Linked DNA regions of Xenopus tropicalis. The protein of the gene in region 1 purifies or fractionates together with the protein of each later gene. This does not show direct contact. Links are inferred from orthologs where the notes say so. Each region holds a gene or a part of one and is shown in the gene's direction. Other genes may lie near its edges. The genes, in order: eya2 and acad9.

Region 1 (10,816 bases):
AGCATTGCCACTGTATCGTTTTAGTCTGCGGCAGGCTACTAATCAGCCATGCAGCATATTCCATATAAAAGGTTTTGTTTGCAACCCTATATTCTGGGAAAGAAAAGAAAACTGCAAATATGGCTGCAAGCCCTATTCTTGAATATGTGGGTTATGTACTAGCATGGGGCAAAGTTTGCACCTCTGCTGGTAACTGGCCAACTAACAAGCAGCTTTAACTGCTCTGATTCAGGCAGAATTATGACAAACGTATGTTTTGCACATCTCTACATAACCCCCAAGGCCTACTAGAAAAACTGTAGGAAGGTTTAGACAAATTTCAGCGCTTGGCAAATACATGTGAACTGTCTATCATGGAACCTTCCAGCTAGCTAAGCATGCTGGGATCTGTAGGTCACAACAGCTAAAGCTTTACAAACGGGTGATTATTTTCTAGCGGGGCTAAATATTAATATTATGCAAAATGTGCTGAGTTGTGTTCTCTTTTTTTTTTTGTCTTCTTAGGTTTAATCGGAGCTCCAAAGAGGGAAACATGGCTTCAGCTAAGAGCAGAAATGGAGGCCTTGACTGATCTGTGGCTGACTCATGCACTTAAAGCATTGAATCTAATACACTCTAGGTAAGGGCAGGAAGGCATATCTGTGCCTAGTCCCATAGGGGTTGCATTCTTCAATAGGCTTTTTAATAATAATACTCAGTAGAACCTATGGGAGTATAAATACGTATTATCAGGCTTTGTAAAATCCAATATACTGGATGGAACTTTGCTTAGACAGCAGATAAATGATGGCTGAATATAACATGTCATAGCAAGATGGAGTCTCTGACTTTAGTTTTAGTGTAGGGTAGAGAAATTGTTTCCAGGGTGTTTGTATGGTACAAGTATGGGGTCCCTTATCCAGAAAGCTCTGAAATACGGAAAGCCCGTCTCCAAAAGACTCCATTTTAATCAAATAATTCAGAATTTTAAAACTGATCTCTTTTTTCTTTGTAATAATAAAACAGTACCTGTACTTGATCCCAACTAAGATATAATTACCCCTTATTGGGGGCAGAACAGCCCTATTGGGTTTATTTAATGGTTAAATGATTCCCTTTTCTCTGTAATAATAAAACAGTACCTGTACTTGATCCCAACTAAGATATAATTACCCCTTATTGGGGGCAGAACAGCCCTATTGGGTTTATTTAATGGTTAAATGATTCCCTTTTCTCTGTAATAATAAAACAGTACCTGTACTTGATCCCAACTAAGATATAATTACCCCTTATTGGGGGCAGAACAGCCCTATTGGGTTTATTTAATGGTTAAATGATTCCCTTTTCTCTGTAATAATAAAACAGTACCTGTACTTGATCCCAACTAAGATATAATTACCCCTTATTGGGGGCAGAACAGCCCTATTGGGTTTATTTAATGGTTAAATGATTCCCTTTTCTCTGTAATAATAAAACAGTACCTGTACTTGATCCCAACTAAGATATAATTACCCCTTATTGGGGGCAGAACAGCCCTATTGGGTTTATTTCATGGTTAAATGATTCCCTTTTCTCTGTAATAATAAAACAGTACCTGTACTTGATCCCAACTAAGATATAATTACCCCTTATTGGGGGCAGAACAGCCCTATTGGGTTTATTTAATGGTTAAATGATTCCCTTTTCTCTGTAATAATAAAACAGTACCTGTACTTGATCCCAACTAAGATATAATTACCCCTTATTGGGGGCAGAACAGTCCTATTAGGTTTATTTAATGGTTAAATGATTCCCTTTTCTCTGTAATAATAAAACAGTACCTGTACTTGATCCCAACTAAGATATAATTACCCCTTATTGGGGGCAGAACAGCCCTATTGGGTTTATTTCATGGTTAAATGATTCCCTTTTCTCTGTAATAATAAAACAGTACCTGTACTTGATCCCAACTAAGATATAATTACCCTTTATTGGGTTTAATTAAGGTTTTATTAAGGTCCCTAGCATTCTGGATAATGGGCCCTATACCTGTACTTAAATAATCCCAATAATAAATATTTCTGATTGTATTTCTCTATTACTTTTCCCTTCCCAGGCCCAACTGTGTGAATGTTCTAGTAACCACCACGCAGCTTATACCGGCCATCGCCAAGGTGCTGCTCTACGGCCTCGGCACGGTCTTTCCTATTGAAAACATTTACAGCGCAACAAAGACAGGTAAGTGGAACTTTATTAAACCATCGCTGCTTTTCCCCTCCCAAGCTTCTTTATTTTGTTTTCAGAATTTTTATTATGTTTTCATGTCTCCTATATGCTGGTTTGATTTATATTATGATGATTATTTTGTAATATTCTGATCTCACGCTGCTAAATGAACCTCCAAACATATATATTTCCTTTATTACTTGTAAGCTAAGGACGCCGGCATTAATTTATGGCTGGGAAACGTCTCCAGTGAGATTCTGTTACCAGGAACAGTTTATCAGAATCGCCGCGGTCTCTGGTTTTTTTTTTTTTTTTAATATCATATGCGAAATAAAAAAAGGCGGAATATAAACAGAGAACGAAGGAGTTTTTGCTTCAAGAGGATTTAATGATTTTTTGTTCTTTTTATATAAAAAAACACTTTTGTGGCACATTTTATTTCACATTTAGAATAGTCATTACTCTTTTTTTTTCTGCCGGGTCCATGCAGGGAAGGAGTGCTGCTTCGAGAGGATAATGCAGCGATTTGGGAGAAAAGCTGTGTATGTTGTAATCGGAGACGGCGTGGAAGAGGAGCAAGCGGCAAAAAAGGTAGATGTAGTAAATACCCATATGTTCATACCCGTGCGTATGTCATTATTTATTTAGGGTTTATTTTAACCATATGCCCTTTGACTTTTTGACTTCCATACTCAGCAAAGCTTTATTATCTGGGTTCCTGGCTTATAAAAAGCATCACATTTTTTAAAACTACAATATCCTTCCCAATTGCTATGGCGAATCTCTTTGCTTTAGCCCCGCCCCCAAAAACCACTAAACAATTAAACAAAACTCTACCAGATACGACGATTTGGTTTGTTTTGTTTTCTAAATTGTCATTTTTGAATTTTTTCTAATTTCTTTTTTTACGCCAAAATAGTAATTAATAGTAGTAAATAGATTTTTTTTTTTTAAAGTCATGAAAATGTAAAAAAAAACATATTTTATAATGATTTGTTTAAAATCATCCACCCTAATGTAATTTAATGTTAGAAGATTCTCCAAGGTAAATAAAACCCATTTACAGTTGAATTCAGGGTCGGACTGGGCCGCCGGGGCACTGGGAAGAGCCAATCGCTGTTGCCGCTCTGCCCTGCGGGGGGTTAGGGTGGCGCAGTGGGGGCCCCTGTGGAGGGTGAGGGGCCCCTGGGGCAGTAGGCTCGGTGGGCCCTGCACCCCCCAGTCCAACCCTGATTGGATTTAATAATTTATTTAACCATAAAAGCATTTAATTTTTTTCTTTTTTAGCTTTTTTTCCAGTTCCTGCACTTTCTAGTTTTATTGTAGGAAACTGAGGGAATTATCAGAGCTGTCAAGGAGGGGGTGGGGCCAATTGCCCAAATACTGACTCACAAAACTCAAGGGGTTAAGAGATCCTACACCCAGAATCAGCAATTCAACCCAACTGAAAGCGTCTTTACAATTATAGAAGAAAAATATGATTGGGATAAATTGGAAATTTGATTATATGCGGGTATGGGATCCCTTTTACGGAAACCTGTCATCCAGAAAGCTCTGAATTAGGAGGAGGCCATCTCCCATTTTAAGCAAATATTTTTTATTTTTAAAACTATTTCCTGTTTCTCTGTAATTATAAAACGGCACCTCGTACTTGATGGGATTTAAGCTGCATGAACATTCCTATTGGGTTTATTTCATTTTTATATTTTTTAAATTTGGATATAGTGATCCATACTCAGAAGAAGAAGGCAAATAATGAAAGAACTATTAATAATAAATAATAAAGACCAATTGAAAAGTTGCTTAGACTTGGCCATTCTATAACATCTATCTAAATGTTTATCTACCTATCTGTTCATCTATCTTTCTTTTATTTATGTATCCACTATCTATCTACTATCTATCTATCATCTATCATCTATCTACTGTATCTATCATCTATCTATCTATCTATCTATCATCTATCTACTGTATCTATCATCTATCTATCTATCATCTATCTATCTATCTATCTATCTATCTATCTATCTATCATCTATCTATAATCTATCTATATATCATCTATCTATCATCTATCTATTATCGATCTATCTATCTATCTATCATCTATCGATCTATCATCTACCTATCTATCTATATATCTATCTACCTATCTATCATCTATCTATCATCTATCTATCATCTATCATCTATCTATCTATTGCCTAACTTAATACAAGTGCCCATAATGTCTTAAAGATCGATAGTATATATATACACAGTATTACTAGATTGCTAGCTACCCCTATAGCAGTGCCAAATATGAGTGCAAATGGATTATCTAGTAGTATTTAAACCATAAATATTCCAAAAACACAAATAAATCACTTTGTACATTAAATAAAACAATTGAATGAATGAGACTTCATTTGGCCCTAAGTAGGTTTATTCTGTGCCGGCTGTATGGGGAATTCAACGCTGATGCATCAAAGATGAGGCTTCTCTTTGAAAGCAATGACCCGGATCTGAGTTGTGTTTCTCTGAGCTGCAGGTTAAAAGGCTTCGTGCTTCTATTTCCCCAAACATTCCTTTCCGCAGCTGTCAGGCGCGGTGATGGATGAGGCTCATTTTCTGAAGCTTTAGCGCCCCTCAAATCATCATACATCAACAAACCAACTGGCTTTTATTCATGGCAATCACAGTCATGCAGGAGGCTTTCCCTTCCACCAGCAATGTGGCTTCTACTATCTATTGTGTTGCTCAACATAGTTTTAGAGTTATCATTCCGGAACCTCAAGGAAGAAATGGCCTGTGAAGCCACGGAACGTCATCCATGAGATGAATCCAACGCAGCCTTAAGCTCCCATCCCAGGCTGAGACTGAGTCTTATATGATAGAAGCCATGAATAAGATGTAAAATATATCCTTATAAATGGTACTTAGTGATGTCATCAGTTATAATTAGTACTTTGTGAGGTCACTTGTGTCAAACAATTCATTGAAACGAGTATATTATACACAACTGATTTCTCTTTTGTTGGAAAATATGGCAGTTTATCGTTATCCTGGAGTTCTGTGACCCATGCCAATGCACTCAACTGGTAGCCATCAGGCTTTATTGGTTCATTAACTCTTTGGTGACTTCTAATATCCATATATTTTACAATAGGGGTGTATTTAGTCGCATATTTATGCTCTAAAGCAGTGATGCCCAACCACTGCCATTATAAATCTTGCTTCCAGGGGCCTTACAGCAGCTGCTTGTTATTGAATTCCTGGTTTGGGGACAGGTTCCGGAGGCACAAAAAGACCAAGACCAAAGAGCGCCTCCTGCAGGCTGGTAGTCAATAACAGGCTACCAATATGCCACCCATTTGGCAACCATTGAACTTTTTTCATGCTTGTGTCAGCACCCCAACACTTTGAGTTTGACTTATGGATAACGAAAAGTATAGGGCCCCCCTGTTTTAATAGAAAAATGCCCTCTAGTGGCCGAATAATTTTGAAAATGGATCTACTGGGTTTCACCTTTTAACAATTCCCCTTTTTCCCCCATTCCAGCACAACATGCCATTCTGGAGAATCTCTTGCCACGCCGATCTGGAAGCATTGCGGCATGCTCTAGAACTGGAGTACTTGTAGCAGGCTGGAGGAGTTCCGTGCTGGTCGTTAGCAGGCCCCTCCCTCAGCAAGTCTCTCAACTAGAACTTTCTCAGTTGGTTAGGAACACCGGCTTGCTTCTTCCAAGGACAGCCCTAGGGAAACTCCACCAGGCGGAAGGGTTGCTCGGAGAGTCCAGCCCAACCCAGAACTTGTATAATTTAATCAGATGCTTATTGCTGAACCTGGACTACTAGTGCGGGTTTATCCACCCTCCACGGACTATTTATAAGCACAAATGGACTTGATGGCGCAAAGGATCAACTTTAAAGAAATAAGTATTGGCCACACAGATAGACTGGCCGAGCCCACTACCCAATGGATTGCCCACCATGGAACTTAACTGAGTCAAATTGTTGATTTCTTTTTTTTTTTTTTTTGTATGTTTTTTTTTCTAATTTATGGACTTCTTTCAATTTTTTTTTCCTGTCATTATGCTCCTTTTCCTGAGTTTTTATCTGTCAGAGTGGGAGGGCGGGTGTATGTCGATCTTATTTAATAATTTTTTCTTCACGGCAAAGGCTGGGGACAATCAGGTTGTGTACATTAGTAATGGTTGGTACAAATTACTATAGTTATGTTTGAACATTGTATAGATGGTATGTGGACTGTGCATGCGTCTACGCCGTGCCTTATGCTGCCATCTTTCTTTTTTTTTTATATAGGTAAAACAAAAAAAAAAAATATGTTGTCATGAATGAAAGGCATTAAAGAAAACTACGTTTACATTTTGGGGAAATTCATACCCAGCTTGTAGTGTTTCCTTATTGGTTTGCACTTATATCTCCTGGGAATCGGATCATCTCTTGCCTGGAATATTCCGTTACCAGTCATAGATGTAGTGGGACAGCTAGAGGCCTATAGTGGTGGTGGTACATTTGGTGCAGGGTATCTTAAGGTGGCCATACACGGGCAAAGTTTAGCTGCTGATTCAGGTCCTTTAGACCAAATTGGCAGCTTATCTGCCCGTGTATGGGCACCCCCGACGGTCCTACCCTACCGAGATCTGCCCAAAAATTGGGTAGATCTCGATCAGGCAGGTTTGATTTTCCATCGGATCGGGGGCTGCATCTGATTGTTGATGTGGTCCTCGGCCCGACATGTCTATGCCCTAGGGCCAAATAGCCGAATTAGCTCAATGTTGCCCACCTTAGATGGACATATCAGGAGAAGATCCCCTTGTTTGGCAGTGCATGGCCACCTTTACACAATCCCAACCCCTATGTATCGACCTACATAATGAACAGTATTCAGATACCTTCCTGTCCAACATCCCATTCACTATGAAGTCTTTCCTCCCTAAACTAGCCCATGTCTTTTGGGAAGTTCCCCACTGGATGTTGGAACATTGTTGCTGGGAGTTGCTCCCATTCAGCCACAAGAACATTAGTGAGGTTGGGAAATGATGTTGGGGATCAGACCCGGCTCACAGTTAGGGTTCCAATTCATCCCAAAGTGGTTCGGTTGTGTTGAAACCAGAGTTCTGTGCAGGCCAGTTAGGTTCTTGCACTTCCGTCTCAGCAAACCCATTATGTACGGAACATGTGGGCATTATTGTGCTGAAACAGCAAAGGGCTTTCCCCAAACTGTTCCACAAAATAGGAAGCATAGAATTGTCAGTAATGTCATTGTACCTTGTAGCCTTAGGCTGATGACAGACTGGGCTGATATTTTCGGCAAGAGGAAAAACGATTGGTGAAAATACAGCCCTACACCTGCTACTTGTGCCTGCACCCGAATGAATAAGATACGCTCAGGTGCAGGCACAATAAGCCGATATACGCAAAAAAACATGAGATAATGCAAAGTCTTGCGTTGTCTTGCGTATATCGGCTACTTGTGCCTGCACCTGAGCGTATCTTATTTATTCGGGTGCAGGCACAAGTAGCAGGCATAGGGCTGTATTTTCGCCAATCGTTTTTCCTCTTGCCGAAAATATCAGCCCTACGCCACGTCTGGCATCAGCCTTAAGGTTTGAATTCACTTGAACCAGGGGCCCAAGTCCAAATCAAGACTATTGTTCCTCCACCAAATCTTACCATTGCTTTCAGGAAGGTAGTGTTACATTCATAGAAGCTAGAGCATAACAAAGCAAAGGGAACCAGTTAGATCTAATGGGACATTAAAAAAGGCCTATTACCTCTTTAACCTAACAGCCAGCAATTAAATGTGTTGGTTTAATCCTGGCGTGGGGGGGTGTTAGACAATAATATTTTAGTTTGGGGATTACGCGTGGGAAAGAGCCAGACGCGCATGGTTGGTTGCCTTTGGGCTGAGAAGGTGTGAGATCAGTACAGACTTGTTCCACTCTCTAACAAACAAGAGCCTGATGATTTTGTGATGGACGTAATGGCTGAGACCAGGAAGCCCTTATAGCGCGGCTTGGGATAATCGCTCTCTCCCGCAGACTTCACTCGCCATCTGGGATCACTTAACCCTCTTTGCTCTGAAAGACTGAGTAAGATTCTAACACGTTGCAAAATTCCAGTCTGGTCTGATAATTAAAACAACAAAAACAAGGATCAAGCCCAGTTTGGAATTGGACTATGCCGTTTGGCACCTTTTTGCCATGGTATTTTACCCACAATCCTTTTCTTTCCGAGAATGTCAATGTCGGGCGCTTCCTGTGAATATAAGGCAGAGGTGCAATTCTTCTGCCTATTTACAAATCAAGGCCCATCATTGGCCTTCAAAATGCTACATGGGTGTGCAGAGTCGGAACTAGGGGTGGGCAGGGTAGGCCAGGTGGCCTGGTTGCACTGATGCTGGATGAGGGCACAACCCTGACCTGGTTGGTTTCAGGTAAAAAGTAAAGTGTTCCCTTGTGCCCACAGCCTGGCACAATGCCCTTGCCCAATCACTGCCCTTGCCCAATCACTGCCCTTGCCCAATCAATATGCATAAAAGCCAGGGAAGGCACAGTAGGCACAGTTATATGGGCATCAGACGGAGGAGCAAACACTTTACTGCTGTGGCCCAATATGTCCTTTGTGCTTTCACTTAGACCTCGGAGAACGTCCTGGGATTCTGGGCGCCCAGGGCAATTGCCCTCTGCTCTGCCCTACCACTGACCTCCACTGATCAAAGGCAAACATTCCAAGGGAATCACAGAATATTTACCCCTCACTAATACAGCTGTTGCACCAAAACTGCTTCATAAACACTTAAAGGGCCAGTAGCAGAAAAAACAAAAGCAAATCATAGAGGGTTTATGGTATGACAGGGAATTGTGCTAAAACTGATTGCCATCTATTTCATATGTTGCATTTACTGAATTTCAACATGTTTGAAGCTGCCCCAAATCACTGGCCCACCCATTGCCCCAGAACACACGGCAGGATAAATACAGTGCCAATTCCATGTATAATACCCCAGAACAGACAGCAGGATAAATACAGTGCCAGTTCCATGTATAATACCCCAGAACACACGGCAGGATAAATACAGTGCCAATTCCATGTATAATACCCCAGAACACATGGCAGGATAAATACAGAGCCAATTCCATGTATAATACCCAAGAACACACGGCAGAATAAATACAAAGCCAATTCCATGTATAATACCCAAGAACACACGGCAGGATAAATACAGTGCCAATTCCATGTATAATACCCCAGAACACACGGCAGGATAAATACAGTGCCAATTCCATGTATAATACCCCAGAACACACGGCAGGATAAATACAGAGCCAATTCCATGTATAATACCCCAGAACACACGGCAGGATAAATACAGTGCCAATTCCATGTATAATACCCCAGAACACACATCAGGATAAATACAGTGCCAATTCCATGTATAATACCCCAGAACACACATCAGGATAAATACAGTGCCAATTCCATGTATAATACCCCAGAACACACATCAGGATAAATACAGTGCCAATTCCATGTATAATACCCCAGAACACACAGCAGGATAAATACAGTGCCAATTCCATGTATAATACCCCACAACACACGGCAGGATAAATACAGTGCCAATTCCATGTATAATACCCCAGAACACACGGCAGGATAAATACAGTGCCAATTCCATGTATAATACCCAAGAACACACAGCAGGATAAATACAGTGCCAATTCCATGTATAATACCCCAGAACACACAGCAGGATAAATACAGTGCCAATTCCATGTATAATACCCCACAACACACGGCAGGATAAATACAGTGCCAATTCCATGTATAATACCCCAGAACACACGGCAGAATAAATACAGAGCCAATTCCATGTATAATACCCAAGAACACACGGCAGAATAAATACAGTGCCAATTCCATGTATAATACCCAAGAACACACGGCAGAATAAATACAGTGCCAATTCCATGTATAATACCCAAGAACACACGGCAGAATAAATACAGTGCCAATTCCATGTATAATACCCAAGAACACACGGCAGAATAAATACAGAGCCAATTCCATGTATAATACCCAAGAACACACGGCAGAATAAATACAGTGCCAATTCCATGTATAATACCCCAGAACACACGGCAGGATAAATACAGAGCCAATTCCATGTATAATACCCCAGAACACATGGCGGGATAAGCACAATGGAAATTGCATGTATGATATATCACCCATCCTGTTTGTTGTAGGACACTCCTTGAGGATGTTCATGTCCCCCTCTCCCTACACCCCCTCAGCCAAAGTGCAGTTCTATCACTGAGCACTGGCTTCTTGTTCTGTAACAATTACCATTAGCTGGTCGGTGGAGGGAACATTGCAGGGGTGCCACCTAGTGGAATGTGTGTGCATTGCAAAGACAGGGGCCTTTCCCACAGAAAATATGAGCAGATTTGCTTGATAGGCTGATTTATTGGAGTATTTATTAACATTGGAGACAAACATCACTGGTAATGTTGCCCATAGCAACCAATCAGCTATTAGATTTGAAGAGTCACCTAAACGTTAGGAAACAAAAGCAAAGATCTGATGGTTGCTCTGGGCAACATTACCAGTGATGTTTGTCT
Region 2 (10,480 bases), on another chromosome or scaffold:
CTCTCGGCCGGACATGGCCCCCGGGCAGCGAGACTCTTCCCTGGAATCAGCACTCACTGTATTTGTATTTTTTCAGTTAAGAATGACGTGTGCAACAATGTAAAGGGTAAATCAAATGATTAAATTCTATTCCTATATACTGTACATGTATTGTATTGCAATATGAAGACGCAAGCTGGGCCGCTACCCGGTGCGGAGTGAGCCCCACGCTGTGCTGCATGCACCAGGACTCGTACAAGAAGCTGACACTCGCTCAGCGGATATTTCTACAGATCTGTATATTGACTCTCTAAGTGTTGCTGTCCCATTGGAGCGTGTGTTCTGCGGTCCGGCATGCGTTTGTTCCATTGTAAGATATCATTCCTCTTCCTGCCTGCGGTGAAACTGTATATAATCCAACATGGAAGCGGCTGGGAAATGGACTGTCCCAGGAGGGGCCCCAGGGGGCCGATATATAGCGGTTACTGTACATAGTGTGTAAATTCCCCACCCCCCCCTCACTGACTCTTTAATAACCACGGCATTCGATAGGAAACCTTAGAATTAGCAACCAGACTGTTAACCCCTTCCCCCCCGTAAGCACCGAGGGGCATTTTGTAACTCACAGAAGGAAAGGAAAGTGCGGAACTGGAATATGCATTCTGTCTGTAAGTAGTACCTACCCCTCCGTGTACAATGATAATAATAATAATAACTGTGATCATGTGGATAAACTCAATAAACCATAAAAGAGAAGGTTTGTGGCTCTTGTTGCTTCTCGCCAGAGCGCCTGGGGGGCGCCACTGTGTCTTGGGGGCCCCCACAGAGGCAAGTTGGGGCTCGCAGCAGGTCCAATTGACTCCTCTGTTACAGTATTAAAGGACAAGTAAAAACATTTATATACAGTAGGGGGGTAATGCATTTGGGGTGGGGGATGGTGGGGCTGCGCCCCAAAATGCTTGGGGTGCTTAGTTCAAACCTTACTGATAATTCCGGCCCTCTGACCCTCAAATATGCACTCTGTAATGAGATTTCTGGGGGTAAAGACCCCCCCCCAGCTGGCATATAGGGAGGAAGATAAAGCTGGCATTTAGTGTTGTTTCCATGGTGAAGTTCCCTGTTCCGGGGGGGCACGCAGGGGCTCAGGATTGGAAGTGATTGCTGGGAAATAAAGGCAAAACCCTGAAAGTCCCATTAAAATAAGAAAACGGGCCACAGGGGGCAATTACTCCTGCAGAAGGGTAAATGCACCAGGAGAGACTGCTGTTTTGTCCATAGTACCCCATGTACCTCTACAGGGCTATTATTTACCACCTGGGGGCTTTTACCTGTACATTGAAGAGCTGTTTGTGCTTAGGGGCATATTCTTGTATTGCCTGAGGGCACGTGCCTGGGGCAGCAGCTTCAGGGGGGGGCACTTACATAGGCAAAAAAATTCCTTATCAATTCCCAATCAGAGAAATCAATTCTCCCCCAATAAAGTCTGGGGCGCACTCATTTACTCCTTTGCTCCTTTCCCTGTGTCCCCAGGGGTGTCATTGGCCAGGGCCCCTAGGGCTGGGGACCAATGGGCAATACTCTATAATGACATACAGTCAGGTTCCTGTGGGCATACAGGGTGCTTATGTACTGGGGGGGTTATGGCAAGGGAGCAGCAGGGGATTGTGGGAGCAGAGTTGCCGCTAGTTGATTGGTGCTGCAGCCTGTGAGGCTCTTCCATTTGAGCAACAGATTTTATTTACCTCCTGTTATGTTTGCTAAAGGCCAAACTAATTATTTCTATAGAAAGTCTCCCTGCACGCGGGGCCCCCTGCTGTCAGTTGTCAGTAATACCGGCCCCCCTGCTGTCAGTTGTCAGTAATACCGGCCCCCCTGCTGTCAGTAAGACCGGCCCCCCTGCTGTGAGCTGTCAGTAACACCCCCAGGTAAGGAACTTATGGCATTTTCCAGAGTTTGCAGATTTCCAGCCCAGGTCTGTATCTCCCCACCAGGTAAGGACATCTTCCCCATATGCACCCCCCCCTCAGGTAAGGTCCTCAGTCCATTGGCCCCAGTGCCTCTATCATGTGGGGTACCCCTACCTGCAGGTATATGGGTCCCATACAATGTGGGGTACCCCTCCCTGCAGGCATATGGGTCCCATACAATGCGGGGTACCCCTACCTGCAGGTATATGGGTCCCATACAATGTGGGGTACCCCTCCCTGCAGGCATATGGGTCCCATACAATGCGGGGTACCCCTACCTGCAGGTATATGGGTCCCATACAATGCGGGGTTCCCCTACTTGCAGGTATATGGGTCCCATACAATGTGGGGTTCCCCTCCCTGCAGGCATATGGGTCCCATACAATGCGGGGTTCCCCTACCTGCAGGCATATGGGTCCCATACAATGCGGGGTTCCCCTACCTGCAGGCATATGGGTCCCATACAATGCGGGGTTCCCCTACCTGCAGGCATATGGGTCCCATACAATGCGGGGTTCCCCTACCTGCAGGTATATGGGTCCCATACAATGCGGGGTTCCCCTACCTGCAGGTTTATGGGTTGACATCAGTGGCCCCAGGCCATTTAACCCTTTATGTCATTAGTTACTTGCTTATCAGAGGAATAAGAATCTATTGCCCTTTGGCTGTTCCTGCCCAGAAGCGCTCGGGCCCGGCGGGAGAAGCTGCAGTGTATGTGGCGAATCTCTCACAGTGAATGTAAAATCCATGGTCCAAGGTCATTTATTTCTTTAAAACACAACTTATTCATGAAATGAATTAGAAACCAAGTGCAACGCCGTCAGTAAGTGCCCCTATCTGAGATCCCTCACAGGCGGATATAACCCCAGATATGATATACATATGGGTGCGTTGAACTACAACTCTCAGAAGCTCCAAGAGATCCTGAGTTATAGCTTAAAGATAAACTGCACAAAATAACATCACAGCAGGAAATAATGGTACAATCCCATACCCTATAGAGCAGGGTGTAGGGCAGACAGGTTGAGCCTAAACAGAATAGAAGCCACTGTCTATACTGTCCAATTGCATGCTGGGTATTGTAGTTTTATATTTATCCTACCTGTAGGCTAATTGTTAGATACAAACTACATTACCCAGCATGCAGCGGGACAGACTTACACTGAGGGGAAAAAACTTTGGCTAGTTTCCAAACTACAAACCCGCCAAGGCTCCAAAAAATAGCCCAAAACTGTACCTTGGGGGGTTTGTACTTTGGAAACCCGCCTGGGATTTGAATTAGTAGCCCAATTTGGTGGAAAACCCGCCAACCTGACAACCCTGCTCTCAGGGTCCCGCTAAGAACAACACACAGGCCAAACGCGGGAATCCCACTGGTGCAGCAAGAAGTCACATGGACTCGGGCCAGCCAATCAGAAGGTCTCTGAGAATGTGGGCGGAAGTGCAGACAAGCGGCTTTCATGCGCGTCTTAGTGACGTATATTATCGGCGCCAGAGCTGTCTATCAGTCGGGCAGTCAGTCAGGGAGTGACATTGGGAAGATGTTCGGGTTACAGCGGGTGTGCGGCCGGGCGGCGCAATTAGCCCGAGTGTGGGCGGGTCCGGCCGGGTCAGTACTTACCCCCAAGTACTTCAGTTCCCACCCGCGGAGACTCGCCTACGCCAAGGAGCTCTTCCTGGGAACAATCCGTAAGGTGAGATGGGGGGTTCGGGGGGCCCCAACAGGCGCCGGGGAGTGAGCAGAGGGGTTCCCCAGTATGTCATGTAGTAGGGGGGGGGGGGGGCTGAGAGAGAGGCCAGAGGGGGGGCTGAGAGAGAGGCCAGAGGGGGGGCTGAGAGAGAGGCCAGAGGGGGGGGGGCTGAGAGAGAGGCCAGAGGGGGGGGCTGAGAGAGAGGCCAGAGGGGGGGCTGAGAGAGAGGCCAGAGGGGGGGGGGCTGAGAGAGAGGCCAGAGGGGGGGGGCTGAGAGAGAGGCCAGAGGGGGGGGGGCTGAGAGAGAGGCCAGAGGGGGGGGGGGCTGAGAGAGAGGCCAGAGGGGGGGGGGCTGAGAGAGAGGCCAGAGGGGGGGGGGGCTGAGAGAGAGGCCAGAGGGGGGGGGGCTGAGAGAGGCAGGGGGGGGCTGAGAGAGAGGCCAGAGGGGGGGGGGGGCTGAGAGAGAGGCCAGAGGGGGGGGGGCTGAGAGAGAGGCCAGAGGGGGGGGGGCGGGGGCTGAGAGAGAGGCCAGAGGGGGGGGGGCTGAGAGAGAGGCCAGAGGGGGGGGGGGCTGAGAGAGAGGCCAGAGGGGGGGGGGCTGAGAGAGAGGCCAGAGGGGGGGGGGGGGCTGAGAGAGAGGCCAGGGGGGGGGGCTGAGAGAGCAGGCCAGAGGGGGGGGGGGCTGAGAGAGAGGCCAGAGGGGGGGGGGCTGAGAGAGAGGCCAGAGGGGGGGGCTGAGAGAGAGGCCAGGGGGGGGGGGCTGAGAGAGAGGCCAGGGGGGGGGGGGCTGAGAGAGAGGCCAGAGGGGGGGGGGGGGCTGAGAGAGAGGCCAGAGGGGGGGGGCTGAGAGAGAGGCCAGGGGGGGGGGGCTGAGAGAGAGGCCAGAGGGGGGGGGCTGAGAGAGAGGCCAGAGGGGGGGGGCTGAGAGAGAGGCCAGAGGGGGGGGGGCTTGAGAGAGAGGCCAGAGGGGGGGGGGGCTGAGAGAGAGGCCAGAGGGGGGGGGGGGGCTGAGGGGCAGAGGCCAGAGGGGGGGGCTGAGAGAGAGGCCAGAGGGGGGGGGGGGGCTGAGAGAGAGGCCAGAGGGGGGGGGGCTGAGAGAGAGGGCCAGAGGGGGGGGGGCTTGAGAGAGAGGCCAGAGGGGGGGGGGTGAGAGAGAGGCCAGAGGGGGGGGCTGAGAGAGAGGCCAGAGGGGGGGGGGGGGCTGAGAGAGAGGCCAGAGGGGGGGGGGGCTGAGAGAGAGGCCAGAGGGGGGGGGGCTGAGAGAGAGGCCAGAGGGGGGGGGGCTGAGAGAGGAGGCCAGAGGGGGGGGGGGCTGAGAGAGAGGCCAGAGGGGGGGGGGGCTGAGAGAGGGCCAGAGGGGGGGGGGCTGAGGAGAGGGCCAGAGGGGGGGGGGGCTGAGGAGAGAGGCCAGAGGGGGGGGCTTGAGAGAGAGGGCCAGAGGGGGGGGGGGGCTGAGAGAGAGGCCAGGAGGGGGGCTGAGAGAGAGGCCAGAGGGGGGGGGGGCTGAGAGAGAGGCCAGAGGGGGGGGGCTGAGAGAGAGGCAGAGGGGGGGGGGGCTGAGAGAGAGGGCCAAGGGGGGGGGCTGAGAGAGAGGCCAGAGGGGGGGGGCTGAGAGAGAGGCCAGAGGGGGGGGGGCTGAGAGAGAGGCCAGAGGGGGGGGGGGCTGAGAGAGAGGCCAGAGGGGGGGGCTGAGAGAGAGGCCAGAGGGGGGGGGGCTGAGAGAGAGGCCAGAGGGGGGGGGGGGGCTGAGAGAGAGGCCAGAGGGGGGGGGCTGAGAGAGAGGCCAGAGGGGGGGGGGGCTGAGAGAGAGGCCAGAGGGGGGGCTGAGAGAGAGGCCAGAGGGGGGGGGGCTGAGAGAGAGGCCAGAGGGGGGGGGGCTGAGAGAGAGGCCAGAGGGGGGGGGGGGCTGAGAGAGAGGCCAGAGGGGCGGGGGGCTGAGAGAGAGGCCAGAGGGGGGGGGGGGGGGGCTGAGAGAGAGCCAGAGGGGGGGGGGGCGGGCTGAGAGAGAGGCCAGAGGGGGGGGGCTGAGAGAGAGCCCCAGAGGGGGGGGGCTGAGAGAGAACCAGAGGGGGGGGCTGAGAGACGAGGCCAGGGGGGGGGGCGGCTGAGAGAGAGACCAGAGGCGGGGGGCTGAGAGGAGAACCAGAGGGCGGGCTGAGAGAGAGGCCAGACTGGGGGGGTGAGAGAAGAGGCCAGAGGGGGGGGCTGAGAGAAGGCTGAGACCCAGAGGGGGGGGGCTGAGGAGAGAGACCAGGAGGGGGGGGCTGAAGAGAGAGACCAGAGGGGGGGGGGCTGTGAGAGAGACCAGACGGGGGCTGAGAGAGAGGCCAGAGGGGGGGGGGCTGAGAGAGCAGGCCAGAGGGGGGGGGGTGGCTGAGAGAGAGGCCAGAGGGGGGGGGCTGAGAGAGAGGCCAGAGGGGGGGGGGCTGAGAGAGAGGCCAGAGGCGGGGGGGGCTGACGAGAGAGCCGAGGGGCGGGGGGCTTGAGAGAGAGACCAGAAGGGGGGGGGCTAGAGAGAGGCCAGAGGGGGGCAGACCAGAGGGGGGGGCTGAGAGAGAGACCAGAGGGAGGGGGGGCTGAGAGGAGAGCCAGAGGGGGGGGGGCTGAAGAGAGAGCCAGAGGGGGGGGGCTGAGAGAGAGCCAGAGGGGGGCGGGGCTGAGAGGAGAGACCCAGAAGGGGGGGGCGGGGCCTGAGAGAAGAGACCAGAGGGGGGGGGCTGAGAGAGAGGCCAGAGGGGGGGGGGCTGAGAGAAGGACCAGAGGGAGGGGGGGGGCTTGAGAGAGAGACCAGAGGGGGGGGCGGCTGCAGAGACGAGGCCAGAGGGGGGGCTGAGAGAGAGACCAGAGGGGGGGGCGGCTGAGAGAGAGACCAGGGGGGGCCCCTGAGAGACGAGGCCAGAGGGGGGGCCCCTGAGAGAGAGTCCAGAGCGGGCCCCTGAGAGAGAATCCAGAGGGGGCCCCTGAGAGAGATCCAAGGGGCCCCTGAGAGAGAGTCCAGAGGGGGCCCCTGAGAGAGAGTCCAGAGGGGGCCCCTGAGAGAGAGTCCAGAGGGGGCCCCTGAGAGAGAGTCCAGAGGGGGCCCCTGAGAGAGATTCCAGAGGGGGCCCCTGAGAGAGATTCCAGAGGGGGCCCCTGAGAGAGATTCCAGAGGGGGCCCCTGAGAGAGATTCCAGAGGGGGCCCCTGAGAGAGATTCCAGAGGGGGCCCCTGAGAGAGAGACCAGAGGGGGCCCCTGAGAGAGAGACCAGAGGGGGCCCCTGAGAGAGAGACCAGAGGGGGCCCCTGAGAGAGAGACCAGAGGGGGCCCCTGAGAGAGAGACCAGAGGGGGCCCCTGAGAGAGAGACCAGAGGGGGCCCCTGAGAGAGAGACCAGAGGGGGCCCCTGAGAGAGAGACCAGAGGGGCCCCTGAGAGAGAAAGTGAGTTGGAGAGAGTCAGAACTGGTGCCCCCCCTCACCCGAGTCAGAAAGGGTAGGGGGGCAAGAGACTGCTACACCCTCAGGTGAGTGAGAGAGCAGAGCAATCCTGAGACAGAGACAACAGGGAGTAAGGGACAGTATTTTTTGTTAGTGAGAGACTTCCAGGGTTTTGGGGCCCCAGCAACTGGGGGGGCCACAATGCGTTCCTGCTGGAATAAATAAACTCCTGGCGCCCTCTCCTGCCGATACCATGAAGCGCGTCAGTCTCTGTGAGCGGCCGATGTTCTCTTGCAGGAAGAAGTCTTCCCGTACCCCGAAATCACTAAGGAGGAGCTGGACGAGATCAACCAGCTTGTGGCCCCCGTGGAGAAGTTCTTCAATGAGGAAGGTTTGGGCCCTTATTATTATAAAGAGCGGCCACTCGCCCCACATCTGCCCCGGCCCTGATAGGTACCGTATGTAGAGACAGCCTGGGGGTGGAGGGGGCTCAGTCTGGCCAGGGGCATTGTTATTGGGTGCAATGTTATTACTGTCCCTTCCTGGTTATTTTTGGGGCAGAGGCTGGGAATATGTGCTGTGCCCCCCCCCCCTTGCCCAGTTGTTGCCCCTTATGAGTTTTGCTTCTCCCGTTACAGTGGATTCCAAACTGATTGACCAGAATGCCAAGATTCCCCCTGAAACTCTGGATGGATTAAAAAACCTGGGTCTGTTTGGCATGCAGATCCCCGAGGAGTATGGTAAGTGCCCCCCCCCCCCATGCTGGGTTATTGCTGGCACTGAGCTGAACTGTTATATGGGGCAGTTTGGAGTAATTAGATGTCAGCTCTGTGCCCAGTGGCGGTGGTTTTGCCTTTTCTCTCTATTGTAGCATCCTTACTGTATGCAGACTGGGGGGCTTTGGGGGGACATGGTGTAGCCCCATTAGAGAGCAATGGCTGATCTAACTGTGACTGTTTCCTCCCCACAGGGGGGCTGGGGTTATCCAATACAATGTACGCACGCCTGGGTGAAATCACCTCTCTGGACGGCGCCATTGCTGTTACCCTGGCAGCTCATCAGGCCATAGGACTGAAGGTACAGGGGCAGTTTGGACTCCATGGGGCTCATTTATAAACAGCGGCAGTTACCCATAGCAACCAATCAGCAATTAGCTATTTTGAGCCAGTTGCATCTGATTGGTTGCCAGTGGTAACAGCTCAGCTCAGGTGCAAATTTGCCCGGTTTTTATAAATGCCCCTCTGCACCAGGTTAGCGGGCGTGGCTGCAGTGGGTTAGCGGGCGTGGCTGCAGTGGGTTAGCGGGCGTGGCTGCAGTGGGTTAGCGGGCGTGGCTGCAGTGGGTTAGCGGGCGTGGCTGCAGTGGGTTAGCGGGCGTGGCTGCAGTGGGTTAGCGGGCGTGGCTGCAGTGGGTTAGCGGGCGTGGCTGCAGTGGGTTAGCGGGCGTGGCTGCAGTGGGTTTTGGCTTCATCCCACCCAATCCCTGCTGGAGACTCACACTTTCATGTTCTGCCTTTGCCTCTAGGGGATCCTTATTGCTGGAAATGATGAGCAAAAGGCAAAATATCTGCCCAAACTTGCATCTGGGGAGCACATAGCAGCCTTTTGTCTCACAGAGCCGGGCAGGTAAGTACAGGGCCCCCTGTGTGCCCCCTATATAGCCTACATGCCCCTAACCCCCCCAGGACATGTGTGCCCCTAATCCCCCCCCCCCCCGTAGAACCTGTATCCACTGTTCCCCTGTATATATATATATATATATATATATATATATATATATATATATATATATATATATATATATATATATATGCCCCTAATCCCCCCCCCCGTAGAACCTGTGTCCACTGTTCCCCTATATACAGCCTACATGCCCCTAATCCCCCCACCCCCGTAGAACCTGTGTCCACTGTCCCCTATATATAGCCTACATGCCCCTAATCCCCCCCACCCCCCCCGTAGAACCTGTGTCCACTGTTCCCCTATATACAGCCTACATGCCCCTAATCCCCCCGTAGAACCTGTGTCCACTGTTCCCCTATATACAGCCTACATGCCCCTAATCCCCCCGTAGAACCTGTGTGGCTGTGCCAAGGTGCCGGGGGCACATACAGTTTAGTGGGGAGACCCCCGGCACAGCCCGTTACTCTGCTTCTCATTACAGGACAGTTATTATTTTCTGATTGTTTAGAAGGCGCCGGGCGTTTATCCAACTGCTGCAATAAATATCCCCGCGCCGGAGCTGATCATTCAGCAGGAATCCGCTGCATCCCCTGTGGCACAGAAGCAAATGTATTGGCACGGAGAGCTGGCAGTTAGCCCTTAGCTGTGTGCGTAGCCGCACCTCTGGGGTCTCAGTTGCAGCTCCGGGGCCCTAGGCTGGTGCCTTGCAGTTTGCAGACAGGGGAGTGTCGCTACACACAGAGCTGTACCTACAAACTGCACAGCACAGACAATCTTGCCCCAGAGCCACACAGGGCTGGGGTAGTTCCTAGTGGAGAGTGGGAGAGGCAGAGAGTTTATGTGACCACTGATATGGGCCGGGGGTAGGTGCTCTGTTGGTGGGGATGGGTGCTCTGTGGCCGGGGGTGGGTACTGTGCGGCCAGGGATGTGTACTCTGCGGCCGGGGCTAAGTGCTCTGTGGCCGGGGGTGGGAGCTCTGCGGGCAGGGATGTGTACTCTGCGGCCGGGGCTAAGTGCTCTGTGGCCGGGGGTGGGAGCTCTGCGGGCAGGGATGGGTACTCTGCGGCCGGGGCTAGGTGCTGTGTTGGCGGGGGTGGGTACTCTGTGGCCGGGGGTGGGTACTCTGTGGCCGGGGGTGGGTACTCTGTGGCCGGGGGTGGGTACGCTGCGGCCGGGGGTGGGTACTCTGCGGTTGGGGATGGGTACTCTGCGGCCAGGGCTAGGTGCTGTGTTGGCGGGGGTGGGTACTCTGCGGCCGGGGGTGGGTGCTCTGTTGGTGGGGGTAGGTGCTCTGTTGGCGGGGTGTGGGTACTCTGTGGCCGGGGGTAGGTAATTTGTGCCTGGGGGTAGGTGCTCTGTTGGTGGGGGTAGGTGCTCTGTGTCTAATGTTCCTTATTCTCTTCCCCGTAGTGGCAGTGACGCTGCGTCCATCCAAACCAGGGCAACTCTCACCCCAGATGGGAAGCACTTTCTCTTGAATGGCTCCAAGGTAGGTACCGCACCGGCCAGTTCCGGCAATCTGGGCTTCTATGGCAGATTGTGTCTGTGTCTGTTACTGACAGATATTATCCACTTACCTATTGGAGACAATCTACCCGCAGTGGGATTGGTTACAGTATCGCCCGAAGCGGCTGTACCAGCTGAGACATCAGGGCACAGAATGAGTTGCTGGCACTAAAAGTGTTAATACCAAATATTTCTCTATCCCAGATCTGGATATCTAACGGCGGATTGGCCGACATATT

What was found.
Region 2: the proteins of eya2 (region 1) and acad9 purify together in Homo sapiens (affinity purification with mass spectrometry; 3 studies listed by BioGRID and IntAct, with this or other methods). This does not show direct contact. The link is inferred for Xenopus tropicalis from reciprocal best matches to the Homo sapiens genes EYA2 and ACAD9.

The regions. Positions count from the first base shown.
Region 1 is NC_030686.2:37,297,495-37,308,310, reverse strand, and holds the end of eya2 (eyes absent homolog 2), read left to right. Parts: intron 1-504; coding exon 505-619; intron 620-2,074; coding exon 2,075-2,196; intron 2,197-2,674; coding exon 2,675-2,774; coding exon of another isoform or gene 2,775-2,775; intron 2,776-5,722; coding exon 5,723-6,020; 3' UTR 6,021-6,566; downstream 6,567-10,816. UniProt on the Homo sapiens protein: Functions both as protein phosphatase and as transcriptional coactivator for SIX1, and probably also for SIX2, SIX4 and SIX5.
Region 2 is NC_030680.2:151,557,954-151,568,433, forward strand, and holds the start of acad9 (acyl-CoA dehydrogenase family member 9, mitochondrial), read left to right. Parts: upstream 1-3,461; 5' UTR 3,462-3,487; coding exon 3,488-3,640; intron 3,641-7,349; coding exon 7,350-7,443; intron 7,444-7,690; coding exon 7,691-7,792; intron 7,793-8,022; coding exon 8,023-8,129; intron 8,130-8,576; coding exon 8,577-8,677; intron 8,678-10,145; coding exon 10,146-10,224; intron 10,225-10,445; coding exon 10,446-10,480. UniProt on the Homo sapiens protein: As part of the MCIA complex, primarily participates in the assembly of the mitochondrial complex I and therefore plays a role in oxidative phosphorylation.